4 linked regions of the Xenopus tropicalis genome follow. The protein of the gene in region 2 purifies or fractionates together with the protein of the main gene of each other region. This does not show direct contact. Links are inferred from orthologs where the notes say so. Each region holds a gene or a part of one and is shown on either strand. Other genes may lie near its edges.

Evidence for each region. Proteins that work in one complex are often made in the same cells at the same time.
Region 1: the proteins of gdi2 (region 2) and rab24 purify together in Homo sapiens (affinity purification with mass spectrometry; 3 studies listed by BioGRID and IntAct, with this or other methods). This does not show direct contact. The link is inferred for Xenopus tropicalis from reciprocal best matches to the Homo sapiens genes GDI2 and RAB24.
Region 3: the proteins of gdi2 (region 2) and rab7a purify together in Homo sapiens (affinity purification with mass spectrometry; 3 studies listed by BioGRID and IntAct, with this or other methods). This does not show direct contact. The link is inferred for Xenopus tropicalis from reciprocal best matches to the Homo sapiens genes GDI2 and RAB7A.
Region 4: the proteins of gdi2 (region 2) and rab8a purify together in Homo sapiens (co-immunoprecipitation; 5 studies listed by BioGRID and IntAct, with this or other methods). This does not show direct contact. The link is inferred for Xenopus tropicalis from reciprocal best matches to the Homo sapiens genes GDI2 and RAB8A.

The regions. Positions count from the first base shown.
Region 1 is NC_030679.2:46,180,285-46,186,294, forward strand, and holds the start of rab24 (ras-related protein Rab-24), read left to right. Parts: upstream 1-1,833; 5' UTR 1,834-1,863; intron 1,864-2,814; 5' UTR 2,815-2,899; coding exon 2,900-3,016; intron 3,017-4,655; coding exon 4,656-4,724; intron 4,725-5,110; coding exon 5,111-5,189; intron 5,190-5,677; coding exon 5,678-5,745; intron 5,746-5,830; coding exon 5,831-5,930; intron 5,931-6,010.
Region 2 is NC_030679.2:84,456,803-84,463,006, forward strand, and holds the start of gdi2 (rab GDP dissociation inhibitor beta), read left to right. Parts: upstream 1-2,738; 5' UTR 2,739-2,787; coding exon 2,788-2,832; intron 2,833-6,204. UniProt on the Homo sapiens protein: GDP-dissociation inhibitor preventing the GDP to GTP exchange of most Rab proteins. By keeping these small GTPases in their inactive GDP-bound form regulates intracellular membrane trafficking.
Region 3 is NC_030680.2:135,594,515-135,600,732, reverse strand, and holds the start of rab7a (ras-related protein Rab-7a), read right to left. Parts: upstream 4,178-6,218; 5' UTR 4,073-4,177; intron 1-4,072.
Region 4 is NC_030677.2:104,416,835-104,423,087, reverse strand, and holds the start of rab8a (ras-related protein Rab-8A), read right to left. Parts: upstream 4,178-6,253; 5' UTR 4,023-4,177; coding exon 3,899-4,022; intron 1-3,898. UniProt on the Homo sapiens protein: The small GTPases Rab are key regulators of intracellular membrane trafficking, from the formation of transport vesicles to their fusion with membranes.

The DNA of each region.
Region 1 (6,010 bases), about 38 Mb from region 2:
TAAGTACTATGTTTTAGCTCAAAGGAAGTGTGAAGTGATACACAGCTTCTTCCAATTGTGTGGCAAGAAATCACATCATTACCCACTATAAGCATAAATAGATAAACATGTTATTCACTGCCTGGTGTACTAAGTATAACTCTATATGCTAACAATACATACATTTACACCAAATATATTACAAATATACAGACACTTTAGAAATGTGGCTAGCATGGTGGGGCAGTGTTTAGCATTCGATAGCCAGGGCACTATCTGCAAGGAGTTTGTTTGTGCTCCCTATGGTGGTGTGGGTTTCCTCTGGGTACTCAGTTTTCTCCCACACCCCAGATACATACAGGTTAACTGGCTCCTGATAAAATACACCAGCATATGAATCTAAAGGGTATATTTATCATGCTGTGTAAAAAGTAAAGTGAAGCATTACCGGTGATGTATCCCACGGCAACCAATCAGTAATTAGATTTCAACTGTTAGAAAACCAAAGCATCTGATTGGCTGCTATCAGCAACATCACCTTTTCAGGCCACTTTTTACATGCAATGATAAATATACCCCTAAAGCTGGCCACACACGCACCGATACTATCGTATGAAACCTCGTTTCGTACGATATTCGGTGCGTGTATGGCATGTTGGCGAGTCAACCGATATCGCAGGAAGCTGCTGATATCGGACGACTCGCCGATCGGGCCGGTTAGAAAATTTTGATCGGGCGCCATGACCAAAATCTGCCGTCAGGGCTGAATCGGGAGAAGGAGGTAGAAATCCTATTGTTTCTACCTCTTATCTGCTGTTTCAGCCCTGACTGTGTGTGGCGGATCTGACGATGTTTCATGCGACCGATGGTCGCACAAAACATCGTTAGATCGCCATGTGTATGACCAGCTTAAGACTGTAAGCTCAGCCATGCAAGGGTCTGAAGTCTAATCTCTGTAAAACACTGGAGAATATGTCAGTGCTTTATAATAATGTTAGCCTCCATCAATTCCTCTATCAATCTAGTGCAGAGAAAATGAAAAAAGCAACATTGGTATTTTATTTCTTCCACCCAAAAACAATAATCTGATTTTATTTTAGGTTTTTAGCCTGTTTTATCGATTGGCAACTCTTTCAATAAATGCTCATACTTTCTGAAGTTAATCCATTTTGCATTAGTGCCCAGCTGTTGGGTGCATGGGTGCAGCGTATACAGGTTATGGTGCACCTCACACAGTTAGGGACTTCATTAAAGTGCCTGCAGAGTTCCTGGGGGAGCCCGGCACCTCGTACAGCGAATATATAATAACATCTGGAACTCCCTGCAGATAGGAGGCTAGCGGATACTGTCTGAAACCAGGGAGATTAAGTGACAGGGGCAGCGCTTTAGCCAATAAATATCATTCTGTAACATTGCACCGCAGCTCTGGATTAAAGAAAGAAATACAGAATCGCAGTGAAATTGACAAGGTCTTATAAAAGAACCAGCTAGTCTATTGCGTTTGACAGTGACAAGGTGACACCCCCTGCCATCCGCTTACCCGCCTCATTCGGACACTCTCATCTCCCCAGCGCCGCCATGAGGGTACAGTAGGACATCATGACGCTTCCGGGCTTGGGAACCGCATCTCCCACACACGTGACCGCTACACATGTACTTCCGGTGGCAAGTGGCAGCCCTTGAGCAGAAAGAGGAGAGGCCTGGGACGAGCAGGCGGGCACTACGAGCAGGGGGTGGAGCCGAGCCAAGGCAAGGCTTGCGGTGGGCGGGGTAAATGTTGCAGGGCGGGGCTACCGTACAACACTGACAGATGAGAGAGGCCGCAGTGGGAACTGCTACACGATGAGATACGGGTTGCTGCGTTAGTGACCTACACAAAGAGGGGTGAGCTTTCACATATCTGACTGGGCCTACTGAGGTTGAGTAATGCCATTTTATAATGGGGGAAGTCTAGGTGAAATCTATTACCTACCTCTGTCTGCCTGCTGCTGTACTACGTTTCCCAGAATTCTGTCATAACCTGGTGCTGGGGGAAAGCGTGCGAATGCATTGGCCTGTATACATATTCATGGAATCAGGTGGTGGCAAAGCTTGATAGTGATTTTATATATATAACATATTTATATATCATTCTATCCCAGGTTGTATTGGGCTTTGGAGCTTTTGTTTTGCATGGCTAATGTTACACTCCTTCCTTGGTTAGAGTAATGAAACCAGTCTCCCATTCTAGTAAGATCCCAGGGCTTTGTATTCATTTAAGTCAAAATGTCTGTTTTCTGCTTTGTTTAGAAGCACTGTTACTGACTGCACCTTTCTCTCTAGTGGTAAAGTGGCCAGACAATTTAATTAAAAGCAACTTTCTAGTATATATAAAACGGTTTCAGTGATTTCAAAGCTATTTGTATTAGGAATCACTTCCTCCAGCCAAACCTTCTCTTCCCACAGTTCCTGGCACACTTCTGTTATTCCACTTCTTTCCAGGTCTGTTAATCACAGAACATACAAGGCATTGTTGAAATAGGAAACTTGGGCGGAGAGCTGGCTAGAGCTGGCTACCGATACAGTGTTGCAATGGGAAGAGACAGTTCCCTAGAATTAGATTTTCTTTCATTATGGAAAAACTTTTGGGTGGACATTCCCTTTTATAGAAAACTGCATACAATCCCTAATATTGAGTCTAATATACTTTCCCTTTTTTAAAATAAGTTGGTTATAGAATTAGATAGCCGCTTTCTAGTTCTAACAAAATGATATTGATATTTAAGTTCCTATCTTACGTTATAGCAATAACTTATGAGCCTAATGTAACTCATTTCCTTTGCTCTGTTTAAACAGATGACGTTGCCCCTGGGCGCTCACCACACTGGACAATTGCACTTACTGATCCAAGGGACAGTGCTTTGGTAACAAGGAGGACAGCATGAGTGGGCAACGTGTCGACGTTAAAGTGGTGATGCTGGGAAAAGAATCAGTTGGGAAGACAAGCCTTGTTGAGAGATATGTGCACCACCGCTTCCTGCAGGGACCGTACCAGAATGTGAGAGCAGGCGTAGTCTACAAAATTAGCGAATACTTGTATTAAACCAAAAGTGAAAGTAAACCTCAGTCTATTCACAACCAACCTTTTGAAGCATTACAATTCTTGGAAAGGATTACACTAACAATGCACTTCCCAGTGCTTAGTTCCTGTTACATTGAAAAATGTGTGCTGTAAAGTATTTTATATGAAATCACATGGGGGTAGTACAATAACAGATGGTAACAAATTAACCATCAAAGTTACTAGCTTGTTGCTTGAAAGGAGTTGCATAACTAGACCTGAAGAAAACTTTGCACCAGTTATTATATCACCCCTATCATGCATAGAATCTTTATAGCACTAATTCTTAGAGCTGCTGTGGTGAACTCTAACTCTCAGTGGTGAGACCAAGCATTTTACCACATGATACTGCTCAGTGCCACCCCATGATTTTAACTGGAATGGCATATGCCTGACACTGTGCACAAAGGGGACGTTTCAGCCTGAAACTGCTCTCGTGTACATTTTCCCACAATACATTTTATTTTAAAGGTGATGGCTGGTATGCTCATTGGAATGTTTTTACGATAAAATACTTGCATTTTGATGAAAAAAATCCTGTGAAACAAATGCGAGAAAACTGATAAAATGCCAAGAAAAGCTCAGGACAGTGGATTCCATGATGCAAATAATAAATCTGCTGGTCATGATTAGAAATCATCATATACATATACAGCAAATGTATATTTCAAGGAAAAAAGCTGGAAACTCTCAAGGAACACTTCCTGCAGTTCATGACATTTTTACTTGTTCCTTAAAACTAGCTAAAGCATGGTAAGGGGATAGACAAAAAAGGAGAACAGCTAAAAGTTAAGTCAGTAGTGTTTGCTGGAGATGGCTATATTGCTTCTGATAGGAAAAGCCTTTTGGGTAGGGCAAAAGGTCTGCCAACAAAAAAAGCCCAGAGAAAGTAACCACAGTCACAGAGCAGAAAATACCTTGGCATTTTTGCATTTTGACAACTAAACACAAGCTTGTATATTTGCTATGAACTGTACTACGCACAAACCTATAGCAGAAATAGGTTTAATTGGGAAATACCGGTAAATGGCTATTATGCTGTATGTTTTGTCCATTAAAGAAGAAGGAAAGATGTATCCATTTGGGGTGCAAAATGTTAGGCTCCCCCCCCAGTGATTGTAATCACTTATCTGATACCCTGGGCTGGTTCTCCATTTAGCAGAAAACACCAGCAAGCAAGCACCATGGAGTGATCCTCCTCTTCCGCTTCTTCATATTCAATGGTAGGCTGATGCATGCACAGTAGAGTGAAAAGGTTGACTTTATTTATTAAAGTTCTGCTTTTCACTCTATTGCGCATGCTCACTTACTCGAAGAAGGATGAAGCAGAGACAGGATTGCTGCACAGTGTTTACTAAAAAGTACTCTGGGCTGGTGCAGTTTTCTTGTAAATGGAGCAACAGCCCAGGGTATCAGGTAAGTGATTACCAAATGTTAGGTGAAATAGACTTTCCTTCTCCTTTAAATAATAATGTGATAATCACCTTTAGGCCTGTAAACAATTCTAAAGATATATGTGTTTATTGTTAGTTATGCATGTTTTCTTTAGTTTGATATAATCATTATTTTGCTTTAGACCATAGGAGCTGCATTTGTTGCCAAAACTATGTACGTGGAAGGACGCAGTCTAACATTGGGAATATGGGTAAGCATTATGTGCCTGTATAACAGGGAACTCCAACCTTTCTTACTCATGAGCCACAGTCAAATGTAAAAAGACTTGGGGAGCAACACAAACATCATAAACATTTATAGGGGTGCCAAATAATGGCTGTGATTGCCTATTTAGTAGCCTCTATGCATAATCTCATTTTACAGGAGGCTCTCTTTGGTAGTAAATCTTGTTTTTATTCAACCAAAACTTGCCACCAAGTCAGGAATTAAAAATAAGCATCTGCTTTAAGGCCACTAGGAGCAACATCCAAGAGGTTGGTGAGCAAGATGTTGCTCATGCGCCACTGGTTGGGGATCACTACTGTATAATAAAGTAAGTTGTGCCAAACACATTTGTGATGTCCCTACATTTTTCAGGACACTGCTGGGTCTGAACGTTATGAAGCCATGAGTCGCATATATTACCGAGGGGCCAAAGCTGCTATAGTTTGTTATGGTAAGGACTTTTTCAGAACTGGTGTGCTTTATTAGTTAGTGTGTTGGGCCTATTAGAATAATTATGATGATGATGAAAAATGATTTGTGCTTGAGTAATAGAGAGAGCGTTAAAAATAATACCTCCTGATTTAGCTGTAGTTATAAGTGGTATAGCAGAAAGATCAGTAGTGGGCCCCTGCTGTTGGTTAGAAAAAATGTTTTCTTTTGTTTGTTATTTATTTGTTACATTACGCTGAACAGTTTGTATTTAGCAGATTATTAAGAGTATATCTAATTGCCATTTTGAAACAATCTTCTGTTTTCTTGCTAACACTAAATTTCTACCTTTTAACGCCCTAAAAAACCTGAAACATGACCTTTTAGAAAAAACTTATGCCTAACTTCTAACCTCCTGGGGAAGCCTACGTTATTACTAACCCAGTTAGGCAGGGACCTGTAGCAATTACGTAATGTTCTGCTGATGTGCAATGCTTTCTCCCATTCTAGATCTCACTGATGCCAGCAGTTTTGAACGAGTCAAATTCTGGGTGAATGAGCTGCAGAACTTTGAGGAGGTTTGTCCAGTAAAACCCTTAATCTTGGTAATGTATCCATAGTGCAGGGCAGATATTCATTTATTGGACCTTTTTATTTTACCAGCACTGCCGGATTTACATTTGTGGCACCAAGAGTGACTTACTTGAAAATGATAAAAGCCTGCGTCAAGTAGACTTCCATGATGTCCAGGATTATGCCGAAGGTAGGCGTTTCTCTTCTAGTGGCACTAGGCTCTTATTAAAGGAAAACTATACCCCCTGAATGATTATTTAACTAATGCAT
Region 2 (6,204 bases):
CATGGGGGCAGCCATTTAAATTGAAAAAAGGAGAAAAGGCACAGGTTTCTAAGCAGATAACAGATAAGTAGCATAGATTCCCATTGTATTCTACACAGTTTATCTGTTATCTTCTTATGTAACCTGTGCCTTTTCTCCTTTTTTCAATTTAAATGGCTGCCCCCATGGCTACACAGCAGGGTATTTATATAAACTGTAGTAGTGTTTATGAAGCAAACAGACAACTTTTACCAGTGCAGGGCAATAGTACATAATATATTAATTATTTTTATACACTTTCATTTTTTGGTGTTACTGTTCCTTTAATAAAGATGGTCTTTTTAGTCTGCTGTTAGTTTGTAGAATGATGGTTATTAACCATCAACACAAAGGTGATTGTGTTCTGAAATGATATGAAAAGGTAAAAAGGAGAAAAATTTAAAGACCCATAGGGGCACATTTACTAATCCAGAAACGTCCGAAAAGCGTCCGAATGCGTTTTTTCGTAATGATCGGTATTTTGCGTTTTTTTCGTAAATTGTTGCGACTTTTATTAGCCATTACGACTTGCTCGTAAATTGTCGCAACTTTTTCGTAGCCATTACGACTTGCTCGTAAATTGTCGCGACTTTTTCGTAGCCATTACTACTTGCTTGTATATTGTTGCGACTTTTTTGTATTGAGCGCTTGTAAACAGCGGGCAAACCTTTGCGACTTTGCATGATTTTGGAAGTCTCCCATAGGACTCAATGGCACTCTGCAGCTCCAAACTGGCCCAAGGAAAGTCTCCCATAGGGCTCAATGGCACTCTGCAGCTCCAACCCGGCCCAAGGAAAGTCTCCCATAGGGCTCAATGGCACTCTGCAGCTCCAACCCGGCCCAAGGAAAGTCTCCCATAGGGCTCAATGGCACTCTGCAGCTCCAACCCGGCCCAAGGAAAGTCTCCCATAGGACTCAATGGCACTCTGCAGCTCCAACCCGGCCCAAGGAAAGTTTCCCATAGGGCTCAATGGCACTCTGCAGCTCCAACCTGGCCCAAGGAAAGTCTCCCATAGGGCTCAATGGCACTCTGCAGCTCCAACCTGGCCCAAGGAAAGTCACCCATAGGACTCAATGGCACTCTGCAGCTCCAACCTGGCCCAAGGAAAGTCACAATACTGAAGCTTGAATGACTTTTTCGTAGCCATTACTACTTGCTCGTAAATTGTAGCGACTTTTTCATAGCCGTCGTGCTGAGTATGAAAGTTTCGGATTCATTCAAGCTTCAGTATCGTGACTTTCCTTGGGCCAGGTTGGAGCTGCAGAGTGCCATTGAGTCCTATGGGAGACTTTCCTTGGGCCAGGTTGGAGCTGCAGAGTGCCATTGAGCCCTATGGGAGACTTTCCTTGGGCCAGGTTGGAGCTGCAGAGTGCCATTGAGCCCTATGGGAGACTTTCCTTGGGCCAGGTTGGAGCTGCAGAGTGCCATTGAGCCATTTGGGAGACTTTCCTTGGGCCAGGTTGGAGCTGCAGAGTGCCATTGAGCCCTATGGGAGACTTTCCTTGGGCCAGGTTGGAGCTGCAGAGTGCCATTGAGTCCAAAATCATGCAAAGTCGCAAAGGTTTGCCCGCTGTTTACGAGAGCTCAATACAAAAAAGTTGCAACAATATACAAGCAAGTCGTAATGGCTATGAAAAAGTCGCAACAATTTATGAGCAAGTCGTAATGGCTACGAAAAAGTCGCGACAATTTACGAGCAAGTCATAATGGCTACGAAAAAGTCGCGACAATTTACAAAAAATCGCAAAATGTTCGTTTCCAATCTGATTTTTTCCCATTCGGGATTCGGATTCGTGGTTTAGTAAATCAGGCAAGAAGAACTGAGCTGCATGAAGTGCAACTAATGGAAGTACAAAGAGTGAGTAGGGCAAAGACTGCTGGGAAATCTTCAGTACCACAAAGGCACTTTTCTTTTTTGTACCTTGTCATGTCATTTCTACTTTACTCCCAAAATATAATTTTGCTTGTCTCCAGTATTCGCCTCATGCTGTGGCACACCAATGAAATAAACCAGTATCTCCCAGTGACGTACTTTTTCTAGACAATCCCCCCCTCAGTATTTCTAGATAAGATGTTGTCAACACTTAAAAATAATTTACAGAGACCAGTAGTCAGCTCTGCAAACTATGGGCATTTGGAAAATAGAATTAAAACCAGGGGATGTCATTCATAATTTGTTCAATTAACAAACAGTACAACACAAGCCAGCAAAAAAATGCGTACGTTTTCATAGAACTTTAATTAGACTGCTGACCAAAGGGCGCGGCCTATTACTAACAACGTTAAAGCAGAAACATAACCACGTATCACTGCCCTGCACCTCCCTTTCCTTCAGCGATAAACACTGAGATTTATACACTAATCCGCTACAAAAAAAATATTCTCCCCCCTCTGTGGTCCCCTCCCACCTACGAAGCCTGACTAATAGGCGCTCACAGTTGAGTTACAGCTACTTTGTGATAGGTCCGTCAACACGTCCGTCAAACGTTTGCCTAATCGGGAATAACGTTACTACATTACCACCGCCTATCCTTGAACTACTCCAATAGGCTTAGGAGACGGGCTCCTGATACGCCCTCCTACCCGCGGAGACTGCCGATCTCGTGCAATGTGATTGGTTGGACGTTCCTTGAGCGTGTTCGGCCTGTCTAAAGGGCTGTCAGTGCGTGTGCGCACCACCTCACTGTGTCAGCGCTTCCGCATCCGCCAGCCGTATTCCGTGAGCGCATCCCTGATTCTTGCTCGACTCTCTCGGTGCCCGGAACATCATGAATGAGGAGTACGACGTGATCGTGTTAGGCACCGGCCTGACGGTAGGCACTAATAGTATTTCCTCTGGAAGTGCCAGCCACACCCCCGTTTATCCAGATCCATTGCCTGGGTGAGGTGGCCTGCTGGCAAGGCCCGTAGCCTGGGGACACTCCCTTGCAGTTCGGCTGTGCAGTAACCATGGCATATATTTTGTGCGAAACAAATGATTTGTTGGTTTTCCAATCAACAGGGCGCAACCAAAACAGCGTTATTATTCTCTTTGGTCATGGTTTATGTCATGTGAAGTCTTGCTAGGTAATTGCCCGCTGTGAGCTAATGCCATGGCCCTCTCAGCTGCTGCTTTTGGGCAGTTAATGGTAACAGGATGGAGGTTCGAATGCTCAGTCTATTCAATCCTGTTGCTTGTGCTTGGATCTAAAACTCAATTCATTAACAGCCTTTGCCTATTTCACTGCACGCAACTAGACTGAACTAGAATCCCACTAAGCTTAGGCCAAAGGGCCCATTAAGTGCTGCCAATGGGGGAAATATTCAGGTTATCCTTGCTAAGCAAAACAGGTTTTAATCTAATACAGGTTTAGAAACCTTTACAGTTTGGCATGTGTAGGGTTTATTGTGGCTCTCAGTTTTCTAAAGCTACCACTTCCTTTATAAGCTATCTGAAGTGTCCCAGGAGTTTCCATGTACTTCCTTTGTTGAGAGTCACCAAGTAGGGAGCTGAAGGAAACACTACAACATACATCTATGGGAAGCGGATTTAGTGTGGGCCTGCAGCCACTCAGGTGCTATGAAGAAGGCTTAGGCTTTTCAGTCCAGACATTTTTATATAAGGTTATGTCAATGAATTACTAAACTGCCAGCCCACACTGTCAGCTGTTTAGTGCTGCCTCAAATTACACTGCCTGTGTATGCCCCAAATTCAGCTGGCGCACCTCAAGCGGTTGCAAATCTTTTATCCCACCACCATTGTACCAGATTATCTTGGCCTTTGCATTACAAACGACATGCACACACCTGGGTGTGGTTTAAATTTAAATGCTCTTTCCATTCATAAAGCCAGTTGCTGACAGGGTGGCTATATGCAAGAACAGTACTAAGGTAGTATCTCCATCAAACAAAAAATCCTTGAATGTCAGATCTGCTGATTGCAATATATGTGATTCCTTTGTGGCCTTTTTGAGCCCTGATCAGGGTAGGTTCATGGACTGCCATTGATTTGCTCACAGACATCCATCAATATTCTTATTGGCTGAATGAACTATATGTTCTATATGATCTGTATGTGGAAAATTGTTCAGTTTTTGGGTTTAACCCAATAATGAGCCCAGACTACATGATTTATCTTCACCTATTTTTTTTTTTTTTTGTTTCAAGCCCTCAACCATAGCTTAAAATAAATTTACAGAAGAAATGTTATAGTTCCAGTAAACTGAATGCACCATACATATTTACCCCCAAATTTCAGCTTGATAAAACTCTAAAGTATGCCTGAAACATCAGTTTGTGGTCTTTGCCTTGATGTTATAAATTTTATCATTCAAAGACTTTGAGAAACACTATCCAAAATTGTTGGCATTGCTGCCTGTGGATAGTGACACGTTGTTTGCACCTATTTTGACAGACACTCCAGTAAGGTGCTCAGTGTCGGTTATTTGTTATATTCACTACCAGATTGGTACTTAAATAGACTTCATGCAGTTCTTTTCTATACATTGTAGTGGCCCACCCTCTGTAGGCTGAAATTGCAAAGTAGAGACATGATTAAGCAGTAGGTAAAGACCCTATTGTTCTGTAGGTAATGCTCAATCACCAGAATGGCAAAGAAAAACAGTATAAATATATTTATCATCAGTGCACCTAAATGGCTAAACACAAACTGTCAGGCCAAAGTTTCATCTGATAATGGACATCTCCATACTTTTATTTAATCACCTCATTTTGTGTATGTATAACCCACTTGCTTACAGAAACGTATGTTGCATATATCATTCATCCCATTTTTTTTTTGTAATGTTTTACCACTCAATGGCTACTGCATTTTTCTGAACACACATCTTGGTATGATTACCTGTTGTCAGTGGTGGTTAGCATTTTTTAGGCAGGTGTATTGCTCTTTTGGTCATCATGCTTTGATCCACTCTTCTGCTGTTCGCCGTTGCTTATTTATACACTCATGCCTGCTTTGCATCCATGGGTGTATAATATATATATATATATATATAAGTAATGGCGAGGCACTGACTTAGTTTTTCGGTTAAGCGCAACACTAACTTGCAGGGGTGATAGTATCAGTGGCACCTGATACTACCTTCCTGTACAGTTTTTGTAAAGCTATCCTTCAAACAAACACAGTGCTATTTACAATGACAAGTTTTAGTATTTAGAAAGAAGTTTTTACTTCCAGGTAAAACTGTTCTATTGTGTTAGTCAAAAAGCTATAGGATAACATTTTTGATATGAAACATAATTACTGTAAAGGTGAAACCTATATTTGCAAACTAAGATGATAATCACAACAAGTTTTTAGAACTTTTCAGTTTTTTTTAGCTGATTTTATGTGCACAGCTTTTATGAATAAAAATGTAAAGATATAATGTGATATAAAATAATAACATTGTAAATTCTCTATGTATGAATGCTTGGTAAGCAACATGTCCAAAAAGTAACTTTAGCACAAACGTGGAACCTTCTTTTAATCCAAGTGTTAGTAGTGCCCTAGTCCATTAGATAGCATGTGTCACTTTGTGTTGCAGCCCCCTTCTTGCCACTGTCTGTGTTCCAAAACTGGTTTCTTTAGACATATCACTGTTAGATACTGAATACAAAAACCTTCACAGCCCTGCACGCAAATTGATTTTTCAGTCTGAATCGATCAACAGTGATATGATTTGTTGAAACTGATATTTGACATGGCACAAACAACCAGACTGTAAAGTGGTGATCAGAATTGGTCAAAGTGCCCACCCAAACCTGAGCATGTGTGGCCAGTTTGAGTCTTAGAAAAATGCATAAGCAGACCATGTGGATTGGGAAAAATAAATGTTTAGCTTGATTTATTTATTAAGGATTTTTTCTTTTCTACCTCATGAGTATAAAAGAGAATGCTGATTGGGGGTCTGGGAAGGAAATATTAAAGGCTAATGACATAAGTACTTAAAATAGAATGGTTCCTGAAAGGCACTTTGGATTTCCATATAATCAGGTTACTCCTCATGACATCTGGATCGTTGATCAGCCAGGCCTAATATACTCTATATAACACTGACCAGCATTAACATTACATATGTTTAGGTTACTTAGTAGGGTAAGGACAGTCCTGCTACACATTTGTAGGTGTGAGAGATGCAGGGTGCCTAAGAGTGGCCCTGGACCTATGCCTACTTAGTAATGGTAACGCTGTACAATTATGGTGG
Region 3 (6,218 bases), on a different chromosome or scaffold from region 2:
CACACTAAATGTGACTGATCCGACAGAACTAAACACACTCACCTACACTGTGATAACTACAACGCCTAGTAATAGCACCCTTGACTGTATTGGCCTAAACCTGACTCGACACCATTTCAATCTTAATGTCAATATATTATACACTGTTTTGTATTTTTGTTTTGTGATGTTGTAAAACCAATAAAAAATTTACCTATAAAAAAAAGGTGTGAAAAACACAGGGGATTACATTTTTCAACAATACAGAGGGATTACAGCCTGAATCTGAGGTGAGAACCATGCAAGGGGCCAGTTAATCTCAGTACTGATACCATTTAATGCTTACTCAAAGGTAAGCCATCAAAGCAGCCAGACAGGTGGGGGGCCACACAGAGGGGGGTCGAAGGCCACATGCGGCCCGCGGGCCGCCAGTTGGACAGCACTGCTCTAGCTGCCTATTTCTGCCTAAATCACCCTGGCATTATTTCCTTAGAAACAAAAGAAGCAATATGTTAACCTTAAGCATCTGATCAATACAAATTCCCTAAAGATATTCATGTATAAAAACTGAGTATTACAGAGGTGCCTGAGCCACGAGAGAGACGAAAACACATTTGAACACATTTAACAAAATCACTGAAGGCTGATCTTTTACCCAAGGACTGTGTGCCACCTTCAAAAGATTTTTTTAAAGCCCCCAGAAGTGTTCTATACATTGTATTTCACTAGGATAGAGTACAGAATATAATCACTGTTTCATCTAGACTGAATAACAGTTTCCATTTTTCAATGGCAAAACCTTTGGCATGATAATGCATGACTGTAAGTTCTTAAGGCAATAAATATTAACTGAAAGGTGTCAGAGAGAAGCTGTAATCACTCACAATGTATGGCAATGAGAAAATGCAAGCAGCATATTAACAGCATTAAAGGGGTAGTTCACCTTTTTATTTATTTAGTTATTTAAAGAATGTCTGCATCTTTCCAGCTTCCAAATTAAAATGCTATCTGGCTAATGGGGGTCATTGACCCCTGCAAAAAGATAAATAAAACAAAAACACTGTTGTCATGTAAGGCTACAGTTTTATTATTGTTAATTTCAATGACTTTTCTTTCCATTCTTTTTCCAGACTGATATTCAAATAATGCATGGCTGCTGCTAGACTCAATAAAAACCCTAGGAATCAAATAAAGGGGTAAAATGTTAAACTAGAGAACTGCTTAAAAAAGGTATATTACTCAAAAACTACAAAACAACAAAACAAAAGCTTAAAACCAAATGCTAATTATCTCAGAACGTCACTGTACTAAAACTAGTGAGGAAAAAAATATTTAACAACCACGCCAAAAGTAAATCTTATTCTGATATATGCAAGTGTAGCAGGATATACTGACACCATGTATCAATCACCCAGGGAAGGAAAAACATCAAACCATTATACAGCACATTAACATGAAGAAAAAAGGTGAAAGTGTGATTAGAGCCAATAGGGATATAATAATGCCACAAGTCATTTGTATATAGAAAAAGAAGACTAGTTAAGTGTAAGGTATTAATAAGGGGAGCAGTCTCTTGCTGGGGTACATTTGTTTGATGTTCGTTTGAGACTCATCTTTGAGCACACCTAAACACATTTTCTACTTGATTCCATTATATTTTGCCTGGTTGAACGCACGAGCGTTCAGAATTGCGTTTCACCCAAAAAATTTTTTAACATGATGCATTTTCTAGCTATTGACGTGCATTCATAATTCACTAGAATAGAGGGTTGTTTGGAACCAACAAAAACACACAGGTGCGTTTAAAAAAAACACATATAAACCCAATATATGTGGGTTTTTTTGCACTCAGCATGCATTTGCAAACACGCAAAAAACACTTGTGAGTATGAGCCCTTACAAAATACAACAGACTTACTATAGGGACTGTTTATAGTGGTTTTTATGGATATTTAAAAAAAAAAAAAAAAAAAAAAAAAAAAAATATTTTATATATATATATATATATATATATATATATATATATATATATATATATATATATATATATATTCTTTAAATAGGAAATGCTAACTACCCTACTTGCCAAAGGGCAGAGAAGTGGAGAATAAACAAGAGATAGACAAGCACTTCAAAAGGTGAAAATAATGTCCAATAAAAGGTAAATTAATATATAAAATTGCATTAAAGAATAATAAGGACCACCCTGTTTATTCTGTGTTCAGACATTATGGCATCTGAATAATGCAAACAAAAATATTAGTTGGCAGTTAACAGTGATAGGAGTGAGGTTAGCAATTACAAAATGAATGAGGAAGTAATAAGGGAAAAAACATTTAGGAAGGGCTGAAGAGGAAGGTGAGCGGATACCATCAGGGGTATGAAGAGGGTAGCGTATTTGCAAATTGTTGGAGAAAGAGGAAGAGCAGATGACAGAGAAATAGAAGAGGGAACATGAGGACTTGGAAAGGCAGCTGAGAAACTGGAAAAGGTACACAGATTCCACAATGTTGCATAATGAAGAACAGAAAGTGGGAAGGGGTAATGAAAGGATTACACAGGTGGGCTGGGCTTAGAAATGGGTAAAAAAAGAAAGATGAAATAATCACTGTTATACAGCAGGTGAATCGTCAGCCTCAATAACACACTGGGTAATTATCAACCTGATTTCTAGCAATCATGCAATAAATGCATAAAACAGGGTGCATTCTAGCTGGCTAGCAGGGACACAGATAAACAGGGCAAGTGAGCTCATTAAGGCTTGTGGCCTTATAGATTAACAGCCCTGAAATAGGGGTGACACACAATAATGAGCCACTGTGGGGTTGTATACTGTATGTTTTATAAATACTGGGTAATACTATAGTGGAATGGCGAGGAAGGAGACTGATAAGTGATGATGATGAGGGACATTTAGCAATAAAGTGTTGCAGACACATAACGCTGAGAGAAGGGAGGAGTAAAGGGGACACTATTAAACATGTGAACAAAAGCTGAAGCCTGAAAGGGTGGGGATCAAAAAAGGAGAATAGAAACAAAGTATATCTTCATTACTGCTGTGGCTGCTACTGGGCTACTGCTCCAAATATCCCCCCCCCAAGGGCTCAAGCAAGGGTGGTTCCTGTCAAGCAACAGAGTGAAGATCCCTGATTCCCACAGCTGGGGAGCCACAGGCAGGGGCCACGGCTGCCATCGGAAACCCACCTTACCTTTTGGTTTAGAACACTGGCCTCCCCTAATACACCGAAGCATAACAAAATATAGAACGGTCTCATCAATGGCGAGGGCCCCCATGGATGAACCACCTATGCCCCCACGGATGTACCCCCTATCCCCCCACGGATGTACCCCCTATCCCCCCACGGATGTACCCCCTATCCCCCCACCACGGATGTACCACCTATCCCCCACGGATGTACCACCTATCCCCCACGGATGTACCACCTATCCCCCACGGATGTACCACCTATGCCCCACGGATGTACCACCTATGCCCCACGGATGTACCACCTATGCCCCACGGATGTACCACCTATGCCCCACGGATGTACCACCTATCCCCCACGGATGTACCACCTATCCCCCACGGATGTACCACCTATCCCCCACGGATGTACCACCTATCCCCCACGGATGTACCACCTATGCCCCACGGATGTTCCACCTATGCCCCACGGATGTTCCACCTATGCCCCACGGATGTTCCACCTATGCCCCACGGATGTTCCACCTATCCCCCACGGATGTACCACCTATGCCCCACGGATGTTCCACCTATGCCCCACGGATGTACCACCTATCCCCCACGGATGTACCACCTATGCCCCACGGATGCCTTGGGAGGGACCGTCCCGGTGCCAGCCCAGCTGCCGTTGTATTATCTCACTCAGCATCCCCGACATGATGCCATTCGCCTTTAGGCCCAGCAGCACAATCAGGGCTACCTGCCGGGGGAAGGGTGGGTGCCTTTCGAACACTACCATAATGGTGTTGCCCAGGCCTCGCTATCAGGCCTCCGCTAGTGTCGGGCGCTGGGTTGAATTAAGCCCCCCGACTAGGTGCCCCCTGCCCAAACCCCCAGTGCCCCTCTCACCTGCTACGGGTGGGTTGTTGTGGCGTCTGGATGTCCCGGGCCGGTCAGATACTATACGCCGGGCCCGCTGCTTGTCTCCGCTTCCTACCCCTGCCAACCCTTCTCTTCCCAACGGAAGTGACACCCTGTCATGGGGCGCCTGACGTCAACGCCTCCTCCTAATTACCTATTGGCTAAAACGGAACGGGGCGTGAAGAAGGAAGGGAGTAAAAGGAAAAACACCACGTGATTTGCTGTGTCACCGCCTTGCCGCCATATTACCTGGGGACTTGAGATGTCGGGAAGGCAGTATAAAAGACCACTTTGCCTCACAAAAACAATAACAGAAGAAAACGTGCTTTTTGTCAAACATATGTTGTTATGTTCATACTGTGTTCAGCGTTTTATTTCCATGAGAAACAATTTATTGCTGGACTATTGTGCAACTTGGCAGCACAATCCATTTACTTTGAATAGCAGTTTCATATTTCTGATTGTAAGTGGGGCATCGTTATTACTGGCCTACTGGCACATTGTTCCCTCCTGAAGTGGCTTGGGGCATGCTATCACCCCTCCTCACTAATGGTGGCCAATACAAAGGCTGATTCTAGCTGCCGATATCGGTTTCTTTAGACGGATTCAGGGTCGGAGTGGGGGTGCAGGGTCCACCAGGGCTACTGCCCCAAGGGCCCCCACGAGTCTTCTGTACCCCCACAGGGGACCCCGCCCGACATCCTCCCCTGATCGTGCGTAACTACAACGCCATACCTCCCAACTGTCCCGCTTTACCCGGGACAGTCCCATACCTCCCAACATTTGAAAAATGAAAAGAGGGACAAAAAGATTCCGTGCGTGCAGCATGGCAATTTTTGACCACGCCCACTTTTGTGGCCACGACCCAATTGCCACACCCCATCCATTTTTTTTTCAAAAAATTCTCCTTTTATATAGTAGAAATGGCGGGATCAGACGCAAATGTGCTATTCCCTCATACTGTACTACCTAAGGAAAACAATATAGCAACTCCTACATATAAAATACAAATATAGAGAGAAGGCAGTCAGTTATAAGTGAGTTATAACTATGTACCAGTTTGCCCCCCCATACACAGTGCCCCCAATAGCCTAAAAGACAGTACTACCCATACACAGTGCCCCCATACACAATGCCCCCCATAGAAAGTGCCCCCCATACACAGTGCCCCCAATTGAGACAGTCCCCCCATACACAGTGCCCCCAATTGAGACAGTGCCCCCCCTACACAGTGCCCCCAATTGAGACAGTCCCACCCCATACACAGTGCCCCCAACTGAGACAGTCCCACCCCATACACAGTGCCCCCAATTGAGACAGTGCCCCCCATACACAGTGCCCCCAATTGAGACAGTCCCACCCCATACACAGTGCCCCCAATTGAGACAGTCCCACCCCATACACAGTGCCCCCAATTGAGACAGTCCCACCCCATACACAGTACCCCCAATTGAGACAGTCCCACCCCATACACAGTGCCCCCAATTGAGACAGTCCCCCCCATACACTGTGCCCCCAATAGAGACAGCCCCCCCATACACAGTGCCCCCAATAGAAACAGCCCCCCCTATACACAGTGCCCCCAATAGAGACAGCCCCCCCATACACAGTGCCCCCAATTGAGACAGTCCCCCCCATACACTGTGCCCCCAATAGAGACAGCCCCCCCATACACAGTGCCCCCAATAGAGACAGCCCCCCCATACACAGTGCCCCCTATAGAGACAGCCCCCCCCATACACAGTGCCCCCAATTGAGACAGTCCCACCCCATACACAGTGCCCCCAATAGAGACAGCCCCCTCCCCCCGCATACACAGCGTTCCCTTCTTCTTCGTACCCAGCGGCTCCTCAGTGTATGCGGCTCCTTCTGCGGCGGTCCCAGGCCCTTTTATAAGGTTGCGCCCGTGCGTAATGACGTCACACGTACACACCGGGCGCAACTTATAAAAGGGCCAGGGACCGCCGGAGAAGGAGCCGCATACACTGAGGAGCCGCTGGGGAAGAAGGAGCGCCAACGCATCGCGCTGTCCTGGGTAAGTCAATGAATGTTCCGCATTTCCTAATTTATTACGGAAATGCGGGACATTCATGGAACTATCAGGGACAGCGGGATGCGCTCTAAAAACCGGGAC
Region 4 (6,253 bases), on a different chromosome or scaffold from region 2:
ACAGCATGTGTACTGCCAACAGAGCCCCCTGTTGTCTGCCAGTCCATATTGGGCTACCAAAAATACAATCACAGCCCTTATTGGTCACCCGAGGAACTTTATTTGGTCACATTGCTCCCCCACTTTTTATTTTTATATGTAAAAGCTGAAGCAATTCAGTGCAGACATAGCTTGCACTCTTCAAGCGTATGGTTGGATTCTTGGCCTGTGTTTATCCAGCCTTACCATACATTCCCTTATCATTATACAAATAGATCATAAACCTCTTAAGTACCTCTCCAATGTAAAAATTTCCAACCTTGACTAGAATATCTTTATAACTAAGATTTTCTACAAAAAGGAAGGTGAATAACTGGAAAAGCATATAAAGACAAGTTTAAAGAAGAAAAAAAGGCATAATTAACCGGGGAGACAATCACTTACTCAAGACCCCAGGCTGGGGTCACTGAAAACTGCACCAACCCCTGGGTACTACTGTAGGAGTGCCACGTAGCCATCTTCTGCTCTGCACGGATTCTTTCTACAGCCACATGTGCATGGGTAGCAGAAAAAATGCTAGATTATTGCTTCTAAGTTTAGCTTTTAACTCTACTGTAAATGTACACAGTGCACATAGGCTCCAAGGAGAAAGAAGATGATGGCAGGGTGGTGCTCTTACAGACCCCAGGCCCGTGAAGCTTTTAGCAAATAAACGGGATCTCATATAAGCCATCATAATCAGCACCCACTAGTGATGATGCTTTCCTTTCTTCTTTAAATGTTGCTAAAAATAATTCATATTACAGGTATAGGACCCGTTATCCAGAATGCTCGGGACCAAGGGTATTCCGGATAAGGAGTCTTTCCGTAATTTGGATCTCCATACCTAAAGTCTACTAAAAAAATCAATAAAACATTAACCCCAATAGGATTGTTTTGCATCTAATAAGGATTATTTCTATCTTAGTTGGGAACAATTACAAGGTACTGTTTTATTACTACAGAGAAAAAGGAAATCAGTTTTAAAATTCTGAATTATTTGGTTAAAATGGTGTCTATGGGAGACAGGCTTTCCGTAATTCTGAGCTTTCTGGATAACGGGTTTCCGGATAAGGGGTCCGATACCTGTACTACATATTCTGACTGATACATAAGGTAAAGAGGGCTGTGCTTACAAATTCAAAATGTTTGCTTGGATAGGTTAGCACATCAAAGGATCTATGTCCAACTTGGCCATCCAAGCGTTGGGTCAAATCATACTGATATGATCGAGTTTAAGATCAGATCTCATGATGGGATATGCTGGGAAAGGATGGCCAGTTGTAGTGCTTGCCTGATGGGATTTCCCAGGCTTCCCAATGAGGTTTTATTCAAGAGGCAAGTGTTTTAGCCTCATTTAAGCACCAACAGGCTGCCAGCTGGGTCTGTTACAGCAATATGATTTCACCTTAGTGCTTTTCCAGATGTTTCCTAGGGAAAATAAATTGAATACTACAGTGTTGTAATTAAATATCATTTGGAAATGTTTTTTTCACTCTAATATGAAAAAGTATCATCCCCATCTAAAAAAGTCAGGGAGGAAATATTTGCTTTCATTTGTTACTTCAGTAGCATTTTTGAAACATATAATATGATTCTAGGGTTAACATTATACAGGCAGTTCATTATGTCAACACCTTCATTACTTTAGAGATTCCCAAATACAATAGTGCACCTTTCACTGAGCCTTTGTCACCTGATACATATAGTGCTCATGCAGGAAAAGAAATAAAAAAAAAAAAAAAGCTCTCTCTCAGAATGTTGGCTGTTTTACAACTCCACTAATTACAATCCCCATTTCATTACAGATAATGAAGTCGGCTATCATCATTAAAGAATCAAGTAGGAATGTGTGACAAACTGCCACGTCTCTGTTAAGCAGGTGCCAGTCTAGTTTCTCTCTTAGACCAAAGGGTTGCCGTTTCTGATGTAGCACACTTTCTTTAACACCTCAAAGCACTGTTTCCGCTATTGAAGTGTTCATGTTAGAGAAAAATACTGGGGTTTCTGTGAAGTATGATTTTTTGGAACAAGCATGTCTGAATTTCAAAACTGCTTTTAGGGATCACCCTGGGCGATACCGGTTATCATTCTAAATGTAATATAAGCAGCTTTAATAAGTAGAGATTACTTTTAATCTATTATAGTAAATAGGTAAAAATGTATTTTTGGATTAGGCTGATTCCTGTACCTTTCATGAAGAATTCGGCCGAATCCTGAACCAAAAGCAAACCCTAATTTGTCTAAAAGGAACCATGCATGCAGCATGAGGAAAAAATGTACTAGTTTCCTTACGTGTGTGACCAAAAGTCATGTGATTTTAAGGGTTCCAATTTTGTTCAGCCGGGCACTTGGATTCGGCTGAATCCAGATCCTTCGGAAAAAAACTTCAGCTGAATTCCAAACTGAATCCAGGGTTTAGGGTATCCCTTACATTAAACTATAAGGCCATATATCTAACACAGAAAATATTAAGTATTTTTGTTTTACTGTATGGGACCTGTTATCCAAAATGCCCGAGATCTGGTATTTTCTGAAAAAGGGATCTTTTTGAAATTTGGATCACCATACCTTAAGTCTACTAAAAATAATTTAGACATTAAATAAACCCAATTGTTCTGCCTCCATTAAAGGTTTAATTATACCTTAGTCGGGATCAAGTACAAAACACTGTTTTATTATTACAGTGAAAATAAAAACACTTTAAAAATGTGTTGAATTATTTGATTAAAATGTAGTCTATGAGAGAGAGCCATCTCATAATTTGGCGCTCTCTGGATAAGGGATTCCATACCTGTATATTAATGAGGGCTGCAATTGCATATTGCATTATCTCAAACACTGTCACAGGACAGCAGAACAGAACCATTTATGATCACCTTAATTGATACCTATGGATGTTGCATTAGTTAGGCAAAGTTGTATGCAGTTCCCACTAAAGATGTGACAAACTGGACCAATATATGGAGAGGGGATTTTTGTTTTTTGCTCAGAATAAAGTAGCTGCTATTTAAGAGAAACTAATTAAAAAATAATCTAAGCCCATTTGTTTTTTTTTTTTTTAATCAAATTCCCCTTTAAGTAAAAACATAAAAAATGAATATGCTATGTATTGTTGCCAGTTATCCCTTTGCATTAATGTAGGCATATAAAGCAAGTTTACATACTAACACCCATAAGAATAGAAGAAATGCCCTTTTCATTCAAAGTCTCACCTTTATTACACAGCCCGTCACTGAGTACAAAGGTTCATCAGAAGAGATGATATCACTGTAGTCTCTACAATAGCTATAACTACCTGGAATAGATCCCTCAACTAATCAGGTGCTACACTACCAGGATCATAACCAGTGATAAAATAAAAATATAGGTCTGCTGTTGATGACACAGGACTGACATCTCTAAAGTTCTACTCTATAAGGGACCAGAGGAGGCATACATGCGTTTCTTGTGTTACAAATGACAAGCTATAGCTCTTAATGTGTGTGTATTCATTGAGATGTTCTCCCTTCTGCCCATGTATATACACTAGCGCTTTATAAACCCCATAGGAACTGCTGGAAAATGTTCATCATATTCTTTATACATACATCAGCACTACAGATTTTTATCTCAGGTAAAAACAAATAATGTAACTCTATTGGAATTATATTACTGTATACTGACACGTACAGTTATAAAACAAGAAAGATATGCTGAATGTTCAATACTATATGCTACAAAGACAGACAATAGAAGAATGCCTCCCTTGGTATTAATGTATATTCAGACCGGCATACCCATACTTAGTACGTATACCCACAAAAAAAACCCCAGCACTCATCCCCTGTTCCATCCCCTTCTCCCACCAGTTGCTCCCCACCCGACAACTCAGACTCACCTATAGTGGATATAAAGGTTGAATTGAAGGCATCTTCTGAAAACCTAAATAATACACACGTCTTCCCGACCCCAGAATCGCCGATAAGTAGCAGTTTAAACAAATAATCGTAAGTCTTCGCCATATTAAAAACTACTATACAGGAAATACCAGAAGCTGCGAACAATTGGCCACGGGCAGCGTCAATCTATGTGAAAGCGAAGATCAATTGGCTAGTGACGCCCTGTCGTCACCGCAACCCGCCCATCCCAGGAGACCCCCCGCCGCCGAACCCAAGCGTAAAGTTTATCAGGCAAAGCTGCCGAGTCAAACTGAGAGACGTTAGCTGGTTGGTGGAAGTAATGTCAGAGCGGGTGCTCGTGATTGGTTAGTTTTCTGGGCCGGTTAATACATTGCCAGGTCGGAAATTATTTTCTGTGTTTAACTTCCTTTGTCTGGTAAGAAATAGCACTGAATCTGGAATGCAGTTTTATTTTTTGTATTAACTTATATTCCTATTATTTTATTTTTCCCCATCTGAGTAATGTGTTTCTGTGTATATAAGTAGCACTATGTGCCTACATACACAAATATTATCGGTACGACCAAGTATGATTCGATGCTTATGCTTTACAAACAGACGTGTTTGTGTTGCCGCTGCTAGTGAATCAGCCCTGCTTGTTATTTTTTTTTTGTGCGTTGAAATAAAAAATATCAGAGAACAAGGTTTCAGCATAGGATTATTTTCAGTCAGTAACCAGGAGAATTTGTCAAGAATCTGAATTCTTTTGCAAGGCACCGTATTTTAGTCTCATATTTAATAGTATGTCTCTTTTTTTGTTTTATTTTGCCTTTATATTTGTATTTTATGTTACCCAGAACATTATTGGCTGCCAGTTACAGAGCTTGTTGCAGATAGCGGCTGCGTACATTCTTTAGACCTGCTTGTCTGCTCATGTCATTGGCCCAATTTCCTGGAACAATGAAAATCAATATACAATACTCTACATACTATCACTCTACATATCTTATGTACTTTATTGATAACATATGGAATTACATACCCTCTATTGTTATTATTATTATGAAGATATTATAAGGCAACAAGAAGTCCTGTGATGTGATGTAAAGGCAGGAGGCTGGAGGCTGAATGCTTTAAACAAGTCATGGAACTTCAAGGTGACTTCTGAAAATATCATTTTTATGCATACAGTAAATCGTTACATAAATTATAACCCAATTTCCAAAAACATTGGGACACTGCATAAAATATAAAAAAAACAATGCTATGATTTTCATTAATAGGTTTGCTTTTGTAAGTAACTGTTACTTGAAGTTCTAACCCTGACTCCCTTCTAACCCTGTAAGTTATAGTTTCTAATGCTGCTGCACAAATATGGCTGCACCCTCATAAAGGGACATGAGGGATCAGATAGGTAATAAAAAAGCACCAGAAAGTATTTTAATGGCAAAATTATAAATAGCTTGGAAAGGCCGTGTTATGATAGATTTAAAAAGCAGTTTCATTTCAGGTGTCAGAATCTCTTTAAAGGGGACCTATAAAATAATTTTAAATTCTTTTGTATTTTAAAATGACCTTTTCTTAAACAATATATACAGTTTTTTATGTCTGGGTGACAGATCCCCTTTAAACCCTATATTTAAATGTAAACAGTACAAAGATAACATATCAAATGCCAAGAAATATTATTATTTTCTGAAAAATATATGCTTGTGAGAGCTGTGAAGTTGTGGAATTCCCTCCCCTAATCAGTTGTACTGACTGATACATTATATAACTTTATGAAGGGGTTGGATGGCTTTTTAGCAAGTGAGGGAATACAGGGGTATGGGAGATAGCTCTCAGTACAAGTGAGGGAATACAGGGTTATGGGAGATAGCTCTTAGTACAAGTGAGGGAATACAAGGTTATGGGAGATAGCTCTTAGTACAAGTTGATCCAGGGACTGGTCCGATTGCCATCTTGGAGTCAGGAAGGAATTTTTTCCCCTCTGCGGCAAATTAGAAAGGCTTCAGATGGGTTTTTTTTGCCTTCCTCTGGATCAACTAGTAGTTAGGCAGGTTAGATATAGGCATTATGGTTGAACGTGATGGACGTATGTCTTTTTTTCAACCCAACTTACTATGTTACTTACTATGTTACTATGTTTTGTATTTGATACTAGCACCACATTTCAAAAAAGTTTGGACAGGGCCAACAAAAGAGTGGAAAAGTAATGTAATACTAAAAAGAGTGGACCGCAGAGAGGCTTGGTTCTTTCACTCTGTGAACCACCACACAGGCTAAAATTGCAGCAATTCAAGAATAACGTCATCTACAGTACATAATATCACTGAAAGATTCAGAGAATACAG